4 linked regions of the Drosophila melanogaster genome follow. The protein of the gene in region 2 purifies or fractionates together with the protein of the main gene of each other region. This does not show direct contact. Each region holds a gene or a part of one and is shown on either strand. Other genes may lie near its edges. The genes, in order: CG9795, Vdup1, mRpS22 and Rs1.

Region 1 (7,557 bases), on a different chromosome or scaffold from region 2:
GGATTAGCCTGGCTGATTCCCAGCCCGTATCCGCCAGGCTTCTCGCCCAGTTGGTGCTGTTGATGCCACCGCAGGCGCCTCAAGATGTCTTCCTCCGAGTCGGAGCTGGTGTTCTCGTAACGCCTTTTGCGGGCTGCGGGATACTTAAAAGTTAGCCAGTCAGCCCCAATCCCCACGAAACACGGTACTCACTGATCTTCTGCACACACTTGACTGCAAGGTGGCGCTCGTCGCAGCAGTTGATGGCATGGCGGTAGTGAAAACAGCACTTGCGACTGATGAAAAGAAACAACAGGAGCAGTAGAACGAGGACGCCGAAAAAGGCGCCCAGCAAAGTGGTCACCTCGATGGTGCCTGAAAGATTTAACAGTCACGGCTCAGGTCAGAATGGTGTGGTTTGTGGGGTGCATATACATTTTTACGTACCGAGCGTCGGAGTGCTATCCAGTCCAGAAGCGGAGGTAACAATCATCTTGGCTCATGCGAGGATCCTGGCGAACACGAGTCTACTACTCGCAACTCATTGCACCCGGACCACAAGTCAAGTCACTAAAAATTATTCTCACTGCAGCGTGAAAGCAAAAGCTCAGGAATTTGACAGCACAGCGTCGCAGGATAACTGGAATCGATTTTTCGCAAGACAACGACTAGGGATCAAAGCAAAAAAGTCGTTTGGAAGCTGGTGTACTCCGAATTACCCGTTTTTTTGGCCCTTCCGTATTTCGGAACCGTTCATCTGAGATTTGGTTGCAAAATCGTAAAACAAATTATAGAAGGAACAACTATACTGTTCTATCCTATTAATCACTTTCGATTTCTTGAAGGCACGATCCCAAAACTGCGAATCATGCAACGAGAGATTCAGAAATAAAAATCAAACGGCTCAGGATTTAATTCAACTGAATTAGGATGAGCTGCCTTAAACTCGATGGAAAAACTGCTTCAAAGCAAGCACTTTGGAGCTTAATCCCTCCACCCCCAGTGTGTGTACACACAGGGCTCGGAAAAGCTCCGTTTCGACAGTTGCATCGCAGTAACAACTGTTGCTTATTTTTTTGTGTTTGGGAGGATGATTTAAGCTGAAAACTTAGAAACGGGATTCTTTTTTATTGGTTGTGCTGTGCTGTGATTTCTTGAATTGTAATTGTTTAGAATGTCTCGAATAAAAATTCTCTCCGTGTCGTATGCATTCGAAGGTTTAAACGTTAGTCGTAGCCACGGTTTCATAAAATGTTAAGACCAAGACCGTTTGCCTGTTATTGATGTTCAAAAATTTGAACCAAATAATTAAGAAAAGCGGAATTAGTGCATCAGAATTAATGCACATTGTATGCTCCATTCAGGTAATTGTCCGGTTGTTTAAAAAAGAGCCTTATAATTTAGGTCAAAATTTTTAGAGCTACTCATGCTTACATACATGAAATGCGCTGTTATTCGATAGCAGATAACACTCCGAGCAGCAGGTATCGATAATCGCAACAATCGCTGTTCCAGCGAAAGTCATCGCTTTGACGGCACATCGCAGATTGCCCACCTCTAAAATAAATGCCTAATGAATTGGCTCAGTTCCGTTGTGCGCTTAATTTTTTGTCGCTGCTCAAACTGAATGTTTCCGCCTGTCAGAACACCGTATGCAAAACCGTGACCGCGCCCACGCCGTGCTTGAAAGTCCAATACATTTAATCCGCAATTGTGACGCAAGTAAATTTTGGATGGCCAATGCCACTGGGCAAGTGTGAGTGCCGTGTGTGCCAAATTCCGCTGAGACGCTTCTGATAATATGATTATGGCTAAACAGCTAAATATAGTGCTCAGTGCCCCCCACAAAGCGGAATACCGCGGTGGTACCGTGATACCACCTCCTTGGCGTCGATTACTTCGTTTCTTTATTGCTGGTGGAGCTAGCAGGAGGAAGAAAGCCAGTCTACGACGTCATCTTATGTCGTTTCGCTTTTCATTTCGCAGCAGTCACTCGCACACAATGAAAATCGAGAGGGTGGGATGGGGGTGGAACAGGGATTTGAAAACTCGATTTCCCGTACCAAGAGCCCAGACCAGAGTTGAGCGCGTGTCAAAACTTTTCGACACAAAGCAGCACGAAGCCGAACTGGAATCTGGCAAAGTGCAGTCTAAATACATATAATATAACGCTTTTGTATGAAAATAAAAGTTTGTCTAACCTTGAATCTAACAACCAAGGCATTTTTCGTTAGGTATATATGTGTACTTCCAAATATATAAAATATCCTCGCAGAGCTTCTAGAAAATATTCTATTGTAAGCAAGTTTTTGCAGTGGACCAGTGAGCAATGGCGTGGGAATCCCAGCTGTAGATGCTTGGAATTTCTACAAAAACTTACAATGTCGTTTCCCGGTCTTTTGAGCTTTTAAGCTAGTATTCAACTTTCAAGTCAACTCCATTTCTGTCAATCCTAATTTCTTCATACCCTTGCAGAATGTATATTAATTTCAGTTAGAAGGTTTTAACGCAGTGGTGGAGATATTTGCGACCATATCAAGTATATCTATTCCTGATCAATATCGCCAGCCAAGTCAATATCTAATTCACATTTTTTGCCAGGGTTTAAATATTTGCTACAATATAGCTCAAGCAATCGAAGTACATATGTATGTATAGTGCTCTTCGATTGGGTCAACAAACCAAGCGACTCGCTCTTCCAGCTCTTTGTCGCCGTGTGCATTTAGTCATTGATCGCGGGAAGGAGTCGCTGTGGGCCATGTCACCATCTCCATTGACAACGCAGCCTTTCTTTATTGGTGTCATTAAAATTTGTTAAATGGAAAGGTCATTAGACACAGCGGTGAAACCGGTTTGGTTTGGCGGCTTAATTTTCGGTTAACTCGACTGCATAGATTACGCACCAGCCACTTCAATTGGCTGCCAAATACCTTATGCTTATTGGTATGTCTTCACTTGCAGTATGTATATTTGCTGGCAACCACCCACCAACAAAAAAAAACTTGACCCAAAAGCGGCGAATGTTTATTTTCTCTTTATACTTGACTGACGTTCATCTTGGTGGCCAGAGTTTACTGCCAATGTCGTTCTTAGTCAGTTAAAGTGGGAGTAGATACAATTATCTTGAATCCAAGCTACCGCCTATTTTCATCCCGAACGTATTACTAGATGTTACATACTAATAGAAACAACGCTTAAAACTGGTAAATAGGTTTTTTAGTTGAACTATCAATCGTATTGTAAACTGTTAAACCTCATTGACAATTTTATAGACACAAAACGCTGATTTAGGGCTACCGCTGGAAAATTCTATTATCTGTTAGTGAATTCGTCTAAATTCATTTGTAGATCAATAAGTGAATAAATGTTTATTGTTCGTCAATTAAGTGCCATTCCACTGGTCTGTGCCTGCATACATTTAAATGTTTTTACATTGTATATTCTGCAACCACAGCACAGTTTGTGACGGTGGTCGTGCAAGTGTTTGGAGAAATCGTACGGCTGTTTCCAGGGATTGCATACGTAACTTGAGGATTTTTCTTGCTGTTTCACTTCTGTTTATTGTCTCCCCCAAGTGCACTAGGTACAAACATCGAGTCTTTCGTGGGTTAATTTCTGTGTGCTTCCAGTTTTTATGGTCCACTGCGGAATCGCACGAATGAAAAACCTCGCTTAACAATACTTAACTATCCGTATTTTTTCTATTTCAGAAGCAACATGAGCGTTTTGCGGGAGGAAACGACAACTTCCAGCCAGAGGGAGATAAGCACAAACGGCGGTGGGTTGGATTTCCCCGCAGAAGTGACGTCGCTGATTGCTGGCAACAGCTTTTGCTTAACGCCAGGAAATAACGGCGGGATCGGTGCCCAGAAAAAGGTCACTACTGGAGCGGGTCTGAACAGTACACAGAGAGGTGAGCGAGATCATCGTCCGAAATATTGAATATCCGTTAATCTAGGTTGTTTATAAAGTCTATTTTAAAGAACTTGGTATTATAAACTCAAAATTCACATTAAATTCCAAATCAGTGAGTGAAATGTTAAATAAATACAAAACACAATAATAAATCAATTAGGTTAATTTTGTACATTACGCCTTTTATAATTCCCTGCAAAGTTAAGAAACCTCTAAGTTTCTTCTGTGTTGTACTAATTTTGATATAATAAACATGTTATATTGCATTTTTTGATCTTAAGGTTCCTTTTATTTTTAGCCACTATAATTACGAAAAGATTTAATCTATTCAAACTGACTGATTTCACGGTCAGTAATCGACTTAATTTTATTTGTTACGATGCCTTTGTCCGAGATATATCATTGAAATAACGGAAACTATTTACCTAACTCCCGAATTATATAAGGTGGGCAAAATATATACTGTTTGTTTAAAATTAATATTACAGTATAAAGTACATATGTATATTAAGTAAGTATATGAGTATACATACATCTGATTAAAAAGTTGAAAATGTTCAATAGTGTGGGCGTGGCAGTTTTAATCAATAGAAATTAACAATATATACAGTCAAATGACAACAAATTAGGGGTGGGAGTGTCAGCTTTGGTTAGTTGCAAAACAAGCTTGCTTCTTATTATGAAATTTATAGTATCCGAGACCTCGACGGACATACGGACATTGATAGATCGACTCGGCTAGTGATCCTAATCCAGAATATGTATATTTTCAAGGTTCGGTGACAATCCCTCAACATTTAGAAGCATTTCTGAGTAATTTCCTTGCTCTCCTTACTGGCCGTTTATCGAAAGGGGCATCGAGTTTGCTCAATCTATAAAAACCAAGTATTTGCTTGACTTAAAGAAAACCGTTTGGTTTTAACAATTGAAAAACGAACCAAAATAGTCTTAAAATTGCTTCAAATTGCCCCAGACGTTTTTCTGGGCTAAAGTAACTTAGACAACTCTAGTTTAGCCGCCGAGTTGAGCGTTACGTCCGGAATTGTTGAATTCGTGTAATAGTTTTCACTTTGTCAATGCTGGAAGTGAAAGCCGTGAAGCCTTTAGCTACGTAATCTGTCCACACTAGGACCTGCACTATTGAAATTGTCAAGATGACCTCAAATTAAATTCTCCTTCAGCTACGGATGCCACCAAGCGCAAGAAACTAAGGTCGCGTAACGTACCACCTTCCCCATTGGCCCAAAAAACTGAAGCAGCGGCGACCTCTCTTAACCAAACGAACATCGGTGAGGTCAAGAGAACCGATATTAACTATTCCAACGATCACCTTGATGCCTGGTTGGAGAGCTGTTTACGTGATGCCACCAACGCCCAATTGTCTTCTTCATCTGAGTTTTTGGACTTCATACCGCCCACAGCACCAGCTCATAAGCAAATGTTTTTGACTCAACAGCAGCAGCTGCCGCAGCTTAAACAGCAACTACAGCAGCAGAGGCAACAGGAATTTTCGAAGCGAACCCAGCCTTACGGAGTGGGTCCAGGCACACCGTTTAGCCTGGGGATACAGCGCGTGAGTAGTTGCTATTGCAAGATATTTTGTACAACGCACACCCAACTTTATTTTATTTTTACAGAATTCGAACTCTCTTAGCCATCGATATCCGATGCTCTTCCCACCCCAGAGCCTTAACAGCTATGGTGATGGTGGCCAGGAGTTTGCAAGCTTGCCTCCCCTGAACAACATGATGGGAGGGCCGGAAGGGCTTGGGTGCGATCAGGAACCGAATTCGACGGATGTGCTGGATGGCAGCGAAAGCAATCCCAACTTTACCAAGGGGTAAGCAAAAACAATAAATTCGTAATGAATTATTAAAGAGCCGTACTTACCGTGTGATAACAGATTTCGGTTCAGCGATCCGTGCCTACTGAACCCCTCCGATAATGACTCTAAGCTGAGTGGCCAGAATACACCAGAGTGTCGAAATGTGAACAACAATGGCAGTGGCTGTGATCTGGCACATCAAAACAAATTTTTCGCGGCTCTAATGGAACAAATAAACATATTGCACGACACCAATTCCAAGATCTGCCGGAATTTGCATAATACAAAAGGTGTGTGGTTTGTAGGATTGTGTCCAGTTTAGATGTCACGATGCTTCCCAAATTACGACAAAATTACACAAATCTCTGATTTATTTTACTTGTACTCGTATGCTAATTAGAATGTGTTGCCACCCATTTCCTCTTTCTATGTACTCCCTTGCACTTGCAAACACAATCATAGTTGATATCGAAGCTTTAAAGCACTCCCCTAATAGCCAGCACTGGGCAGGTGTAGGCTTTGGGGGCATGCGGCACCGTAGAGATAGCTTAAGCGGGCTAAGCACACAAAGTCAACCTCTTATTCTTGGCAGTGGATTGGGAGGGACACACAGCCCAGCGCCCACATTTCACTCAGGTATAACATAAACGCTACCCCCAACTATGCCATGCAAAGGAGTGAGTAATAAGTTATATTCGCTTCCCATTTTTCAGGCGCCTACACTCCAGGAATGATGACGGATGTCGTGCGGGAAGTGAAGGAGGCAGCGCGCATACGCGAAGATGCACTGCTAAGTCGGTAAGAAGTCGAAAATTAAAAAGTATATTTAGAGTGTTGATTACATTTTGTTCTCAGAGTAAAATTAATGGTTGAAGAACGTCAGTGTTCCTTAAACGAGGGAAATGTCCGAATTCTGAGAGATATAGACGATCTAAAGGTGAGTGCTAAAATAAATGTGCATAAAAAGCTAAAAGCTAAAAATTCGATTTCGGTTGTAGACCCAAGTAATGCAGTTGCGACTGGAGAAAAAGGAGACTAACAAACGCCTCTCACATCTGGAATCCGAAAACAAGTGCCTTCGTCAAGCTCTGGCCGGTTGTTATAACCAGCGGCCAATCAGTAACGACATTATTTACGAAAATGACCGATCCCATGGATTCCGAAAGCCATTTCCGAATGGGGGTGGCGGCGGAGTTGTGGGTTCCGGTGCCCTCGGAATACGACGGGCAAAATCTTTAAACCTTCATTATGGAACAATGCATCAAACGCCTATCCAAACGACACACTCTTTGGAAGAGGACGACGAAATAGAAGAGGAGCAGTTAGTAGAGCAAGTAGGACTGGACGGAGAAGAATTATCCCTGACTGGCAACAACAGTTTATCGTGTTTGAACATCGGTCATCAATCTCCCTCCAACTTAACGCCTCACTCACAGATACCTAAATCAGAAAAGCAAGCAGTTAGAAGCCCTCCCTCTTTTGCGCTGGCTTCTGACCAGATCAATCCGGGAATTCCACCGCCATTGCTACCACGAAAGAAGGACCACGCTCATCTAAAGCGGGAGCGCAGCGAGGCGGCCTCCGTACGTAAGGAGACAAATCAACGTATAATTGCGTGGGTGTAGTATATGCTCTGTTCTACATTTTTAAACTAACCCATCACCGTTAACTTTCACTTGCATGGACGTTTTAAATATACGTTTAGTCACATTCTACTAATCATTTTAATCACTATCTGAGCTTGGTAACTAATCCTAAAACTTACAAATTGTACACTTCCTTTTTATCTTTCAATGGTTATTTATACTGGGCAACATTATAGCCTTGAGAAATTGGTT
Region 2 (4,507 bases):
CCAGTGATGAACTAGAATCAGCCTTCTTCATGTAAACACTAAGTTACTCACGGAGCGCTATTATGAGTGTCTTTATTGTTACAATTTTAACTTTCTCGCGTTCCACTGGCCCGACCGAAGACAGTTTAAAGTTTTCGATGCGAACCGTGCCTTACCAGCGCGCTCGGTATCTTCGCCACAACTGAGCCACTGCCCCAAGTCGGACATAGAAGCAGCTCGATTTAAGGGAGAGCGTGCCAGAGAGGTGAAACAAGGCAAGAGCAACGAAAACAGTGGCCAATGCGCCCAGCCAGTTGGGCATGAGAAAGTTTTGCAGGTGTAGCTCTGCTACACCTCTTGTTTTTCTCTTTGAGACTTTACGGTATCGTTGGTAAGTTTATGGAGTGGACCAGCCACTCCCCCTTGGTGATTGATGTTACACCAAGATATTCTCTGCCTTCACGTCTGGCTTTCGCTATTATTATAAGAGATGGAGATAGGCTTACTATAGGTTCCTCAGCGCCGGACTTTCAGAAAAATGATAAACAGAGCTGAGATTCGGAGATCGGTTCGGTGGTGCGCGGAGCAGCTTTGAAACCACACTGACTTTAACTCAAGAATACTTAGTTGTGGGCTCCACGAAACTTCGAGCTCAAGCGATTATCATTTTGAACCAAACTAGTATAGACGTCTCTATTCGAAACAACCTAATTTTCAGATACTCTATACGTCGAGGCCACAAACGGGAAATCTTTGGAGTCTCGTTGAAATCTCTCTTCGCGGTAAAGACTTGGGTCATTATAAAACAACAACTCCCAGCAATTAAGCCGAGAAACATTGAAATGGAAAACTATAGCCTAGCCATTGCTACTAAATGTCACTAATGCCGTTGGAAGAAATATGAAAAGCTGGAAAAGTTAAATACGAAAGTGATTTGTTTTCTCTTATAGCCAGCATAGTCTTCAAAACGATTGATTTCTTCAGTCCATATATAGTTTGACCATCGTTGCATCTCTACTCTTTCTAATATTATCTTATACTTTGTCGATCATAAGGATAACCTACAGATTCCTTTTAATAAAGTTTTCAAGGTATCTGCCACAGGACTCATTTTTTGACTAATTTTCAGGGTATAGCCATAGCTTGCCACAGCTTGCCACAGGCTGCCGAGCCATTCACCGATTCGGTTTTCGCAGCCAGTGATAGTTTGCTTGGCTTTTGGCCTTTCATTTTCATGAGCTACAGTTGAGGTTCTTCGATTTGGGTACCTTAAAACAACAAATAACCGGTATTAAATGCATGCATAATGCATAAATGTGTGCCACTTTATCCATTTTAGTCTGCACACGATTTGTCGACTATGGATAAATACCTGTAAAATATGGGCTTGGTGTTGGAAATACAGATTTATTTTCTAGGTGCAACCGAGTAACACAAGATACACCTGCTGAGCTATAGCGGGGCGACTCTGCGAGCATTGCCATATTATTAGCAAATTGCTCCTATAATCGATTCAGTTTGAACAGCTTAGCTAACCGTTGAGGTGACAATTTGGTTCTCATGCTCGTTTGGTCTTCTGTTGTCTGTGGTGCCGTTCCAGTTTTTTCCGTTTGAATTTATTCAAGAAGATACGCGCTTTGCGTATCCTGTAAGCCCGCTGGAAAGGTAAATTCAGCCATGTATTACATGAATGCAAAAGATAGTAAAAACAAAAGCGGGCTACTTATTGGCATTACGACATCAGCTGGCTCCGGCTGGGCCTCTCTCAAACGATCCCTCGCAAAAACGCGCTCAAAACAAGTTTTTCAGTCGAGCTCTCGTCCGCAAACTGATGCATAACGACGACGACGATGACGACGACGGTGATCAGTTGCCAAACAAACGCTCGAGAGCGTGGACGAGATCTTGCCAAACGAATATCGCTCAAAGGCAGAACGGGTTAAATCGGTTCGGTTTGGACTGGTGTTCCGATCTGGCCAAAAAACACCTTTGTGTGTACAGGTATTTGAAAAGCGATCATTATTTCAAGTGCGCCCACAGGGATGAAGAGAAAACAATTGATCTGTTGTGGATAAAAACAAAAATGTTGAACAATTTGAATGTAATCATTCCAATGGCAGTGTACGGTTGGGAATCCGCTTTCCACTAGGAAATTACGTCAGTTTTCTTTTCGGTTTCTGTTTCCCAATCAGGAATCATCAACATTGTCACCAGTGCACCAAACAGGCTTGCCGACAGTCGCAGTTGCAGCTTACGCTTTTGGTAAAGATGTACATACTGGAGTTTTGCCCAAATTTGTAGGCGCGGGCGTGACACGCCCGACATGCTTCATGCGCCGACCTTGCAGTTGATGCTTAAGTGTTCGGGGCTTTCGTGCTGCATAGTTGTGCACGCAGCCATCTCTTGGCCGTACGAAACTGGTTTTGTTTCCTTTGCCCGCCTAGATGCTACCCACATAAATATGCAAACAAGCGCCGTATGTATGTGAGACCGTAGTCCGTAGTACATGGTCTCAGACCTAGCCAGCTATGACGGATAAGTTGTCATTAACCATAATGACGCGTGCGGAGCGGGTCAAATATTTGGCAACCGTGTTCTAACGAATTTCGTTGGTTTTTCCTTAGGCGTACGAATGAAATCGGCAACAAAACAGAGGCACGATGCCGCGCAAGTTGCTTAAATTCCTTATCATCTTCGACAACACTTCCCTCCTGTACTTCCCGGGCCAGTTTCTCTCCGGACGGGTTCTAATCGAATTGCAGGATGAGACGCCTGCTTTGGGACTTCATTTCCATGTGGTAGGCGAAGGGGTCGTGCGCAACGGGCGGCGACAGGAGCGGACATACGATAAGGAGAACTATATCGACTTTCGGATGCGACTTCTGGGGGACGTAGACCAAGGAGGTCCAGCTATACTCTCGCCAGGAATTCACAGCTTCCCCTTCAAACTCGGCTTGCCACTGGGTCTTCCATCTACATTTCTCGGTCGGTACGGCTGGATTCAGTTCTACTGCAAGGCGGCGCTCCGCGAGAACAATGGCATTATCCATAAGAACCACCAGGTCTTCATTGTGATGAATCCCATCGACCTAAACCTTGAAAAGCCCATCTTAGCAGTAAGTAGCTTTAAAAACCCTGTTTAAAAAAACTAACCTTTCGCCTGACTCAGCAACCGTTCACCTGCGAAGTTGAGCACAAGCTAGGCGTCGTCTGTGTTGGTGGAGGTCAGATAAAGTGCAGAGTGTCCCTTGATCGCGGTGGGTATGTGCCCGGCGAGAATATTCTGGTCACCGCATTTATATCCAACTACAGTAATGTGTCCATTAAACGGACTAAGGCATCCCTCACTGAGGTCGGTATCGCTTTCAAGTGGCTAGTTACAATTCATCCATTTTGATCTTATTTGGATTTTATTTAGACCATCGAGTATTTGGCGCGGGGGAAGGTGGTGCAAACGGAAAAACGGGAGCTGGCTGTTTTAGTTCGTGGCAAGATCCGTCCGGGGGCCAAAGACGAGTGGCACAACGAGCTTTACGTTCCACCCCTGCCGCCGACCAATCTTCATGGCTGCCACCTGATCAAAATATCCTACGACGTCTTCTTCGTGATCGAACCCAAGTCCATGGAGAAGGAGATTAAGCTACAGCTTCCTATCGTGCTTGCGACGTACCCCTTTCGACACTCCGGTGATGCGGTCAATGCCAACACCTGGCCGGAATCGGTGCTTAAGCCGGACACGCACACCCACTATCCGTCCACACTACCCATATTCCGGCCCTGGCTGCACGAGAAGCCTATCGAGGCATAGCCCGCAGCTTTTAGGATTGCTGTGTATCACAACTTGTTAAGACCGATTTGCGCCATACAACAATTTAAACTTATTTAACTTATACTTAACGTTTTTTAATGTTTCTGGTCTTTGCATTTGTAGGTCTTCCGTTCCCAAAAATTTGTTCATGATTGAAGAATTTATAACAAATACAAACGAAAGTTAACATAAAGACCAGACTTTGATAAATTATAATTAGCTCATATACATAACTTTTTATAAAACCTAAATATTGTAGGTTATATATTATTAAAATGGTAAAACTGCACTCATTAACCTTCTAACTACTACTAAATGGTTATAATAATAATAATAATCCCAAAAGTATGGTTGTTGAAATTGAAATAAATTGTTTAAAACGTTACAGCCTAAAGTATGCTATTAAAAAGCTGGCTTGTTCGGAATTTAAATTCGCGAAATTAAGTATTGATTCCAAAACTAAAAAGGGCCACACTGCACGTTAAGATGACAACAATTATATTAGTCCTCTTTATTTGGATAGTTTTATTCAATGACGTATCCAGCGACTGTGGCTGCCAAAAGCTCGACCGGAAGGCCCCGGATATGCCGTCCATTTCCGGACAAGTGTGCCAGCAACGAGCACAGGGTGCACACAGCCACTACCGGGATTACTATGGCGAACTGGAGCCAAATATTGCGGACATGTCACTGCTTCCGGGAGGCACGGTTTACATGGGT
Region 3 (3,666 bases), on a different chromosome or scaffold from region 2:
GATGCTCCATGGCGGCCCGCGATGTGGACGGCTCGTCATCGCTAAGCACTTTCAGTGAATCAGGCTGCGGGGAAGCAGCTTCGTCAGTGGCGTTGCCGTTGGTATTTTTTTTAGCAACGGCTTGTTTGGAGTGCAGGATCTGTGGCGACTCAAGCAGCAGTTCCTTGAGATTCTCGATAGCGCTAAAACACTGCAGATCTGAGTTGTTGATGGGCGTCTGGCGAAGATCTAGTGACTGAAATAAATAACCCTTTATAAAGAATATTCGCCGATTGCACCTATGCCAACCTCTAGTTTTTGGAAACCGAAACGTGCCGCCATGCTGCCATAGGGCACAAACTTGCATAGCGCCTGACAGCCCTTAAGACTAAGACGCCGCAAGGAAGGTAACTTCGACAGGCCCATAATATAATAGGGCTCGAACCAGCTGTTGTCCTCAATACTGAGATCCTAAATAAGACGGGGTTAGGCTATTCATTGGACTGTCGTTCGCTCAAACTCACCTCTAGATCAAGCAGATGCAGCTCTATGGAGTAAAATATGCTTTTTGGCGTGTCGCCGACCCTAACGCTACAGTCCTTTAGCTTCAGACGCCTCAGAGTGGCCGGGAACTCAGTTATGTGTATCTGAAGAAAAGATAAAATTGGGGTAGACCAGGGAAACTTGCGAGATGCCAGCACTCACGTATTCGAAGTCCAGGCTGACGCCCTCCAGCTCCAGCACTTTAAGCTGTACAACCCTGGGGAAAACGGAGCTTAGCGTTTGGGTGAACTGGCGGAATTCGCCTGCAACATGCTGCGAGGACGGAGGTCCGCAGATTTTAATGGTGTGTGTCTTTTCGGTGGCTCGTCCAAGAATCTCTTCTAGGATGCCCATAGGCAGGGGCCCGTTGCTTAAGTCTATGTGATGATAGAAGCGGTGATCCAGCAGGAGGTTTTCAAAGCGCGGCGAGCAACTGGAATATTACGGAATGTTATAATATGGAAAGGACATGGAAATCTCAGCGACGCAGAGATCTTTGTTGATAGCGGACTACTTACTGCATCACCGCCAGAATGGAGGACGTGTCCAGGTACTGGAAGATCTCGAAGAGCAGCTCATCACAGAAGTCCATGAGGTTGCACTCCGTTTCCCGGTCGAGGGATTCCTTATGCTCCTTCTCCCTTTTGCGCTGTTTTATCTCCGGCTCCTCCTCGGTAGGGATTTGTGGCAGCACTGGCTGCACGGGCACGGCGGCCAGCTCCCGCCCACAACGTTCGTTGTCCGGGAAGCGGCGCTTAGGCGCTGCAAGGCACGTACTGCCCAATTCGGCCTGTTCCATGCTTGGGCTGCTCCTGCACTTTATTGCCAATTTTCGCCAGCAGCTTTTTTTCCAGCTAAATGCAATTGGTCAAGTGTGACCGCAGTCAGATCCCGAGATAAGCCGCTAGTAGGGGTATTCCTATGTCGAAGAGATGAAACTGGCTTCCGAATTTCCCGGTAATTTTTAATGTCGTTTTTATTATTATATTATTTTTTTTCTTGATTATTACGATTTGATACTAAAGGCGGTGGCACTAGCTGCTCATAGTTATACAATTGAGTCGTCTGGTAAAATGGGAACAATAACAAGTAGTTAATAATCGTTTAATTCTTATGTAGATAATAAAGTTGCCTATTTTGCTATTTTCCTATTTCAAACAAATATTGCATATTATGAATGAAATTTAAAAATAAGGCGCATTACGCATGTGCATGTGCATTAAAAAAGTTATTATACAAATAGAATAAACACATTAAATTAAATAAGATTCCTGTTGTCATTACTAGCAAGCAGTGTTGGAAAACACCGTGCTGCCCTCACTAATTTCTACACCCGTCTCGTGTATTTTTGTGCCTGATTTACTGACTGAAAATGCACCTGCTGCGGAGCCTGCGCCAGCTGAATGGCCTCCAAGGAGTGCGCCAAGCTATCCGGCAGGTGTCCTCGGCGCCCACCAAGCCCGCCGCCCTGCAGTACGAGCGCGATCCGCAGCCGCTTTTCACGGATGCCGAAACCCAGCGGCTGCTCCAGTCCATGACGCAACTGAACTTGGACAAGGTGTATCGGAAGCGCACGGTGCCGGACAACAGCAGCGAAACGAAGTTCATGAGCAACGAGCAGCTGGACAACGAGTTCCAGAACTTGGTGGTGCGGGCTCAGCAAATTCTGCAAATGCCACCCATTGTGCAGATCAAAAAAGATGTGGAGCGGGTGATAGCCAAGGATACGGCGCTGAAGGACTTCGCCAACTCCAAGTTCGTATTCACGGACATCACCTTCGGCCGACGGCAGTCGGAACGCAAGGTAATCGTCCGGGATATGGACGGAACCTTGGCCTACGCCACTCTTGATACCACGAAGCGCATGAACCAGTTGTATTTCCCGCTGGAGGGTCGCCAGTCATATACTCCACGAATGTTCGCGCTGGAGGAGCTGCTGGCCAAGTGCTTGGCGGAGCACAAGTACGAGTTCATCCTGGATCGACTCTTGGTGCAGTACGAGCCACATGAGCCGGAGTTCCACAACATTTCAGCGCGTGTGTTCGAGCATCTCAACGAGTCCAAGGAGTTCGATCTTCTGCGCTCCACCCGCCACTTTGGACCCATGGCCTTCTTCTACGCTTGGCACCGCTGCATCGACGACCTGCTGTATGACATGATCCGTCGGGATTATCTGCACAATGCCGTGGAGCTGATTGCTCTGAGCTACAAGCTACACAACATCCCAGTGGAGTATCAGGCAACGCTGACCGAACTGGGCAAACTGCATGCCACGCCGGCGGAAAGTGCCCTGGCGGAGCTAAGAAGCGTCTTCCGACGACATGACAATAAGCAGAACATTGAGCAGGAGATCCATACGGCCATTGGCAAGACGGAGCACGATTTCGCCGCCGATGAGATCAGCCTGAAGTTCATTGAGCAGTACATCGCCAGCGAACATGCGCTGAAGAAGGTGCAACTGGAGCTGGCGGTGCAGACGCTTAAGGAAGTTAACCGGGAGAAACTGATGCTGTTCCAGGGACTGAAAAAGGCTCACGGCGTCCAGGCTTCGTAGGATCTATTCGCTTTATTGTTATCGATTTCTATGTACTAATAAATACCAGCTAGGTCAAGATTTCTATACGCTGTTCATAGCTCCTTCTTGAGGACCCTGGACAGCCGTCTAAAATGGCCAAGGATGCACTGTCTCCGGTGCCGCAGGCATACCCGCTCGCTGCTGAAACGCTTCAAGCAAACTGAGCAACGTCTGGGATCACCTCTTCCATTGGGCAACCCGTTGTGTTCGCGAAATAGGACGACCACTTTCGCCTTGGCACAACTCTGTTCTTTTTTTCGGTGTACCAAAAGAGAGGTGGTGGTCTTGAAGTAACGTTTGCACTGAAGACATCTGTAGCACTTCCTGCCGCTATGGTTTCTCAGGTGCCTGAGCAACTGCATCTCTGAGTGGCTCATGGCGTTGCAGAGTAGATGTGGGCATTTAAAGAGCATCGATGACTTCCTGGGCGCTAGAGCGGGACAGCTCAGACTGTGTTGCTTCAATTGTTTCTGGTGGTCCAGACGCTGACCACAGCGAAAGCACAGAGCACCAGGTCCATAGTGCGCGGTCATGTGGCTCTGGTGCTCCAGCAAGGTTTTGGCCACATC
Region 4 (6,683 bases), on a different chromosome or scaffold from region 2:
GTGCGCTGTAACGTAACAAAAATTAAGGAAATAAATTAGGCAAGAGCACACTCGTATTTAAAAATAGACATGTTTATTGGTAGTATTATCAATAATTTCAACCGCTGGGCAATTTTTTACGCTGCTCTGTGAGAGTGGCGTCCTAACGTATCAATAGACAAAGGTAACATCAGATTTAACGGAAGAGAACGTACAAATTGGAATCAAAGAGTCCACAGAGAAGCTAGCGTAGGGGGGCAATAAAAGGGGCTCTCCGCTTGGGGATGCAGTGCGCCTAATTAATTGGCTGCGCTCGCGAAATTCCACCTGCGTCGTGGCCATGGCGAATCAGGGTCTGCTCATCGACCAGATCATCGTCGTCCTGGTCGTTGTTCTCCAGCTGCTTCTGGCGCTTTAGCCGCAGCTCGAATACCTCGCTGATGGCGTCGCGGAAACAGATGAAATTGTAGTCGATGACGCCCTGCCGGTTGAAGTTCTCCTCGCGCAGGATGCAGACCAGGGCCAGGAACTTGTTCACCTCCCGCAGGTAGAGTATCGTGTTGTTGTTTAACTTGATGAGACTAGAGCTCCCGCTGTCAAAGGCGGTTTCTTCGGAGCTGCGGTAAAGCAATGGTTATTTAGGCAAAGCAGCAAATACATCGAAATTAGTTAGCTTGCCTGTATATGCTGGACAGATCAATGACCACGTCAATCATATCGCAGCAGAGCTCATACGTCTGCATATCGACTGGTGACGAGTCCGTGGCTATGTAAATTTTGGAAACCACATCGAACAGAAAGGCTTTTTCTATTCCGGAGTTCTGCAATGGATAAGGAATTAACTGCGTAGTTCAAAAACAACAATGCAAGTTTCGTGTACTGGTATAAAAATGTTCAGCAGATTCTCCAGCGTCGGAAGCTGGGGAATCAGCTTCTGCACCACCTTGGAGAAGGCCTCGAAGATGGAGTGGTCGTATATGGAGGTCAGATGGAAACTCAGGTGGATCTGATCGAGGCCAGCCTCGTTAAGGTCATCCGACGACCGCTGGTGTATGTCCCGCTGCGATTCCATTTTCGAGTCGTCGCTAATTCCATCCACCTGGGAAAAGAGCATGTGTCGCTGGGTTATCAACACGATAAGCGCCCAACTCATGGATATTACCTTGTGTATAAACACCTCGAACTTGATGCGCTTGTTCACTTTGTAGGCCTGCAGCACTGTGTTCTTGAACTTGGTCAGCGCCTCGTTGTAGTCATCCTTGGCATCGATGACAAAGACCAGGGCTCCACAGCCTCCAAAGATCATGTCAGAATCAAAGGTCGGCTCGAAGAAGTCAATCTGGCCGGGGAAGTCCCAGATCTGGAACTGCACAAAGCTGGAGTTGTTGATGTCGTCCTTCACGATCTTACTGGTCGACTCCAGGAAGAGCGTCTCGTTCGGCGACATCTTGTGGAAGACCACTTTTTGGATGGAGCTCTTGCCGGATCTGCGCATTCCCATCAGCAGAATGCGCGGCTTTGTCTCGCTGCTGCCCGTTGCATTGGGCTCCAGTTCCAGGCCATCCTGGTTGTAGGCCCGGTAGCCAAAGTCCTTGGGGAACGTGTCCGCCGGATAGTCATCATCATCGTAGCTCTGAAAGGGCGTGATTGGGTGCAAATCAGTCGGTTGCGATGGGCGGGGGCCAATGGCGATATGGCTTCTTTGTCTACTCACCATGCTGTCGGAGTCTACCGCCTTCCACTGGATTCTGGTTTTGGGGGTGGGGCCGGCCGTAGGTCAACGGATGTGTGCATGAAACGCACAGGCAATGGCTATAGCGGTCACGATCAGTTTACCTTTTTCTGCTTTTCCTGCGCGTTTCTTATCGCAAACACAGTGTGTGCACACCTGCTAACCGAACTCAGCTGTTCCTATCGATAGCAATCAGCTGGCGCGATTACCAAGGATGCTGCCGTATGGTCACACTCCGACCACGTAAAAAAAATTGGCGCGAATTCATAAAAAATTTTTAAGTCTTATACTTTTATACTATAGTTTATAATCCTTTTCAGCTTCTGCGCCGCGTGATAAAAAGAAAATAGGCGGGCACATGCCGTACTCAAGTATATAATATATTAATCTATGTGATCGGGGTATACAAAGGAAAATGATTTGCATTTGTAAGACTAAAGCTATAACTTTGATGATTATTTTTAGCCGATCCTATTTAAGAAATCTCATATTATATTTTTACATTAAATTACTTTAAATGAAGGGTTATTTAAACAAGGAAGCCAATATAATATTCAATTTCAGTTAAACAAACAAAAACAACCAAAAATTGATTGCAAATATCACCAAGCCATTAAAAAAGATTAATAAATAATTTACCCTGGTAGAAACATACATCTTCTAGTTATTAAAAATGTTTAATTTCACTTAACGAAACAAAAACGTACAACAAACCAACCCTACGACTACTGGGCGGCCAACTTGGCATCCAACTGGCCCAGATCAACGCCCAGTTCCCTGAGCCGTCTCTCCTGCTCCTTGGTGTCCAGTCCGTGTTCCTTGTTGTACCTGTAGTTGACAGTCAGCTGCACCTCCTCCAGACCACTGACATGCTCGTACAAGTTGCCCTCCAACCGGAGATCGATGTCGCTCTCCTCGCGCAGCGCACAGAAGTACAGGAGGAAGATGGCCAGGCTGGCGGAGATTACGTAGGGTTGGTACCAAAGGGTCTCGTCGCTGCCACCACTGCGGGTGTCCTTGGCGCGCCAAGTGGCCGCCTGGCTGCCGAAAAACTTGATGGGCTCATCGCTGACCATGTCGTCATCCGATTTTTGGCTGGCTGCTCCTTGGTTCTTCGCATAGAAGCGGGATGCAGGTGGAGTGGCGCCTGTCGCTGGCATCAGTTGGCTACGAAGAGAGCCTATTGTTACTACTGCTGACTAGGTATTGTATCATTATAATAACTCACCGCAGCACCCTTGTTTTTGTAAGCAAACGCAGCATTTTCGATGGGAAACTCAAGCAAATTTCATAACAAAATTGGTTAAACAGCTGACGATTTAGAGATGAGAGCTATCGCCGGCACGCAATTTCGTGATGTATTGATGGCTTGAAAAACAAAGTAAAATATCAATTATGATGAAAATAATATGTTGATTTTACTTAGTAAACTTATGTTTATGGTTATTTGAAATTACTTAACATTAAAAGAGCAACAAACTAATATTTCCACAAATTCCACCCACGCTTGCAAACGATGATTTGACCACCGGTTCGCCCATCTCTAACACGCCACACGTGTGTTTTAAATTGTAAACACGCGCTGGTGGAGTTTTGAATAGTTCTTTGCTTCAAAAATGGGTGCAACCAAGAACCTGGACTTGATAGGCACCATCGAAGACGATGCCGAGGTGGAGAACTTGTCGGAGGACTCCGATGCGGAGGTCGAGGTAGGTTGCTCACACTTTTAAAAACGATAGCAAAACTGAGTTCCGAGTGCCTCCGCAGTACCAACCCACAAAACTGAGACACAAGAAGGTGACGGAGTTTGAGAAGGGCTTCGAGTTCGTGTCCTCAGTGAAGGAGTACAACCAGGACACTTGGGACGACCTGATGAAGTACGTGAAGCGAAAGGCGCGCACAAAGACCGACGACAAGATCGCCGCCCGGCTGCAAAAGCGGGGTGGCGCCGAAGCTGTGGCCGCGGAGCAGAGCGATGGAAGTGAGATAGATCTCTCCGAGGACGAATTGAAGCATGACAACCTGCGGCTAAGGGAGAAGAAGGAATCCAAAAAAAAGAAGAAGAAGGCTGGAGAGGAGGATGAAGAGGACGAGGGCGAGAAGATGCAGTTCGCCGACACTGTAGAGGCGAACGAGCAGATCACTTCCTTCTACCAAATGAACCTTTCACGTCCCCTGATGCGTGCCATCGGTGTGCTGGGGTACATATATCCTACGCCGATCCAGGCCTCTACGATTCCTGTGGCTTTGCTAGGTCGCGATATCTGCGGCTGTGCTGCCACGGGAACGGGCAAAACTGCTGCTTATATGTTGCCTACTCTAGAACGTTTGCTGTATCGTCCTCTTAACAACAAGGCCATCACCAGGGTACTGGTTCTTGTGCCCACTCGTGAGCTGGGCGCCCAGGTTTACCAGGTGACAAAGCAATTGTGCCAGTTCACCACTATTGATGTGGGTCTGGCAATTGGTGGTCTGGATGTGAAGGCTCAGGAGGCAGTACTTCGCCAGAATCCCGACATTGTCATTGCAACGCCAGGTCGTCTAATCGATCACATTAAAAATACGCCCAGTTTTACATTGGATTCCATTGAGGTAAGAAATCGAGGTGAATTTAAGTTGATGATTCTCCATCCTTGCGCTCTGAGCTCTTTGCGGAGCTAAGAGGATAACCTGGTTCTTGCTTCTGCGCGGCAGATGCAAGCTGATTCCACAGGCATTGTGTTTCCTACGTTTACTTTACCTGAATAACTTAAATATCTTTTGATATCCCGAACAGGTTCTCATTCTGGACGAGGCCGATCGTATGCTGGACGAGTACTTCGCCGAACAGATGAAGGAGATCATCAACTCCTGCTGTAAGACACGTCAGACCATGTTGTTCTCCGCCACAATGAGCGAGCAGGTCAAAGATCTGGCCGCCGTATCGCTGGACAAGCCCATCAAGGTGTTCGTCAACAACAACCAGCAAGTGGCCTTCAATCTGCGTCAGGAATTTATTCGCATACGTGAGGATAAGGAGGGCGACCGTGAACCCATTCTGGCTAGTTTGATTTGCAGGACGTTCCATGATCATTGCATGGTATTTGTGCAAACCAAAAAGCAGGCCCATCGACTGCACATTTTATTGGGTCTCTTGGGCGTCCGGGCCGGCGAACTGCATGGCAATCTCACCCAGCAACAGCGTCTGGAGTCCCTCAAGAAGTTCAAGGAGGAGCAGATTGATGTGCTTATCGCCACAGATGTAGCTGCTCGTGGTCTCGATATTGTGGGCGTAAAAACGGTAATCAACTTTGTGATGCCCATCACCACAGAGCACTACATCCATCGAGTGGGTCGTACGGCTCGAGCTGGGCGTGCTGGTATATCCGTTTCCCTGGCCGGTGAAAAGGAGCGCAAGATCGTTAAGGACATTATCAAGAATGCGGAGAGTACCATTAAGAATCGTATTATTCCGCCAGAGATTATTGAAAAATATCGCAACAAACTTACAAGCTTGGAGCCAGAGATTCGTAAGTTTATATAAATGTAACATTTTCTTAATTTGCGGATGTAAATGTATTGTTTTGTAGAAAACATTCTGGACGAAGAGCAGGCTGAACGGCAGCTAGCCAAAACGGAGCAACAGCTCTCCAAAACGGAGCGAAAGCTGCTGGGACAGACCAACGAGCGACGTGGTTGGTTCCAGACGAAACAGCAACGCGAGGCGGAGAAGGATCGCTTAGCGTTGACAACCGGCGACGAGGATAAAGCATCTGGTGGAAAGGGTAAGGGAAAAACGGCCGGAAAGCGTAAGCGACCCGAGTACGGAGGCGATGGCGAGGATGGACCACCGGTCAAGGATCTCGAGGCAAAGCGCAACAAGAAGAAGAAGGAGGAGCCTCGAAAGAAGACACCGGAGCAGCTGGCCAAAGAGCGAGCCATGAAGGAGATCGAGAAGGTGTCCCTTGTGCGCGCCAAGATGGCCAAGCTGCGCAAACGTCCGGGCAAACTAGGAGCCGCCACCGAAGTTCACAGAAGCGGTGCCTCCGACGGCAAACCCAAGCGACGCGGCGGTCAGTCGGCATTTACTAACGACTTGACCGATGTAAGTCGTGGCGGAGCTCTGCGTCTAAGGTGAGTAGCTCTTTCTCGCTTTTCGTTGATAGTTGTTCTAATTTTGTACACCCTTTTCCAGGTCCGAGGCCAATCGGCACAAAAAGATGACCAAGATCGCTGCTAAGAAAAAGGCGAGCAGTGTGAAGCTGACAAACAAGGCGGGAAAGAATAAGTTCAACAAGGGCAAGAACTTCGGAGGACCTCGTCACGCCAAGAAGGATAAAAAGAAGTAGAGCTGCAAACTACGCTATGTTAAATCGTATACTTGTAAAATAAAACTTTTTCTTCTTTAAGGCATTTAATTTTTTTAATTTGCTTTAAACATATGACACCTCAAAACAAAATTGCGAATCTGCATAATCAGAGTGTTAAACTTTCTAATATAACTGCAAATTTACTATTGCTTAAATTAGTTTCGGTTATCTTAATTTAGCTTAGTTTAAAAAGCGCGCCATGATATCGATAAAAATCGATTGTGCAAACTTTTTCAGAACCTCGCCTCCCCTCACTAGTTTTGTTTGCCATTTTCCTCCTTTCGCCTTTTTCCTGAATTTGGCCACAATTGTTGTGTGCTTAAACTGCTAAATTAGGTTTATATAAGTACCTGTATGATGAGCAACCTTTGCAAATACGGACCGCCCCCAGATTCCGACTCTGATAGCAGCTACGATGGATTCTACTTCTCGGATAAGGTATGTGTTCCTTGTTCTGTTCCTTCTGGTGTTCCTTGGGTGACTTGAGTAATTTCTGTATAGGTGAAACGCTCGAAACCAGCTCCTTACGTGGATCCCGAGCAAAAGCTCTACGATGCAGTCGTCGCTGGGGATCTCAAGACGATGCAGGAGGAGATGCGCAAACTCGTCCTCCAAGTGGATCA

Evidence for each region.
Region 1: the proteins of Vdup1 (region 2) and CG9795 purify together in Drosophila melanogaster (affinity purification with mass spectrometry, with the first as the bait; one large-scale study listed by BioGRID). This does not show direct contact.
Region 3: the proteins of Vdup1 (region 2) and mRpS22 purify together in Drosophila melanogaster (affinity purification with mass spectrometry, with the first as the bait; one large-scale study listed by BioGRID). This does not show direct contact.
Region 4: the proteins of Vdup1 (region 2) and Rs1 purify together in Drosophila melanogaster (affinity purification with mass spectrometry, with the first as the bait; one large-scale study listed by BioGRID). This does not show direct contact.

What each region holds. Positions count from the first base shown.
Region 1 is NT_033777.3:4,318,156-4,325,712, forward strand, and holds the start of CG9795 (uncharacterized protein), read left to right. Parts: upstream 1-1,527; 5' UTR 1,528-1,631; coding exon 1,632-1,735; intron 1,736-3,689; coding exon 3,690-3,892; intron 3,893-4,192; exon of another isoform or gene 4,193-4,340; intron 4,341-5,075; coding exon 5,076-5,467; intron 5,468-5,531; coding exon 5,532-5,734; intron 5,735-5,797; coding exon 5,798-6,009; intron 6,010-6,181; coding exon 6,182-6,355; intron 6,356-6,432; coding exon 6,433-6,517; intron 6,518-6,574; coding exon 6,575-6,656; intron 6,657-6,717; coding exon 6,718-7,334; coding exon of another isoform or gene 7,335-7,344; exon of another isoform or gene 7,345-7,541; coding exon 7,542-7,557. Other genes in the region: Syt14 (synaptotagmin 14), read right to left, coding at 1-133, 193-354, 427-472.
Region 2 is NT_037436.4:175,970-180,476, reverse strand, and holds Vdup1 (vitamin D[[3]] up-regulated protein 1), read left to right. Parts: upstream 1-1,513; 5' UTR 1,514-1,644; intron 1,645-1,841; exon of another isoform or gene 1,842-1,980; intron 1,981-2,171; exon of another isoform or gene 2,172-2,603; 5' UTR 2,604-2,639; coding exon 2,640-3,095; intron 3,096-3,148; coding exon 3,149-3,331; intron 3,332-3,397; coding exon 3,398-3,787; 3' UTR 3,788-3,975; downstream 3,976-4,507. Other genes in the region: CG7049 (uncharacterized protein), read left to right, coding at 4,274-4,507.
Region 3 is NT_033777.3:27,915,108-27,918,773, forward strand, and holds mRpS22 (mitochondrial ribosomal protein S22), read left to right. Parts: upstream 1-1,800; 5' UTR 1,801-1,894; coding exon 1,895-3,076; 3' UTR 3,077-3,141; downstream 3,142-3,666. Other genes in the region: CG5003 (uncharacterized protein), read right to left, coding at 1-235, 289-450, 504-626, 685-955, 1,041-1,321; Boh1 (buddy of Hmr 1), read right to left, coding at 3,151-3,666.
Region 4 is NT_033778.4:8,161,629-8,168,311, forward strand, and holds Rs1 (Rs1), read left to right. Parts: upstream 1-1,935; 5' UTR 1,936-2,139; intron 2,140-2,371; exon of another isoform or gene 2,372-2,436; coding exon of another isoform or gene 2,437-2,878; intron 2,879-2,939; coding exon of another isoform or gene 2,940-2,974; exon of another isoform or gene 2,975-3,079; intron 3,080-3,168; exon of another isoform or gene 3,169-3,241; intron 3,242-3,251; exon of another isoform or gene 3,252-3,312; 5' UTR 3,313-3,327; coding exon 3,328-3,420; intron 3,421-3,478; coding exon 3,479-4,303; intron 4,304-4,321; exon of another isoform or gene 4,322-4,420; intron 4,421-4,487; coding exon 4,488-5,220; intron 5,221-5,280; coding exon 5,281-5,824; intron 5,825-5,885; coding exon 5,886-6,039; 3' UTR 6,040-6,141; downstream 6,142-6,683. Other genes in the region: RagC-D (Ras-related GTP binding C/D), read right to left, coding at 275-596, 658-800, 860-1,078, 1,142-1,612, 1,694-1,696; CG30373 (uncharacterized protein), read right to left, coding at 2,437-2,878, 2,940-2,974; gasz, read left to right, coding at 6,415-6,498, 6,562-6,683.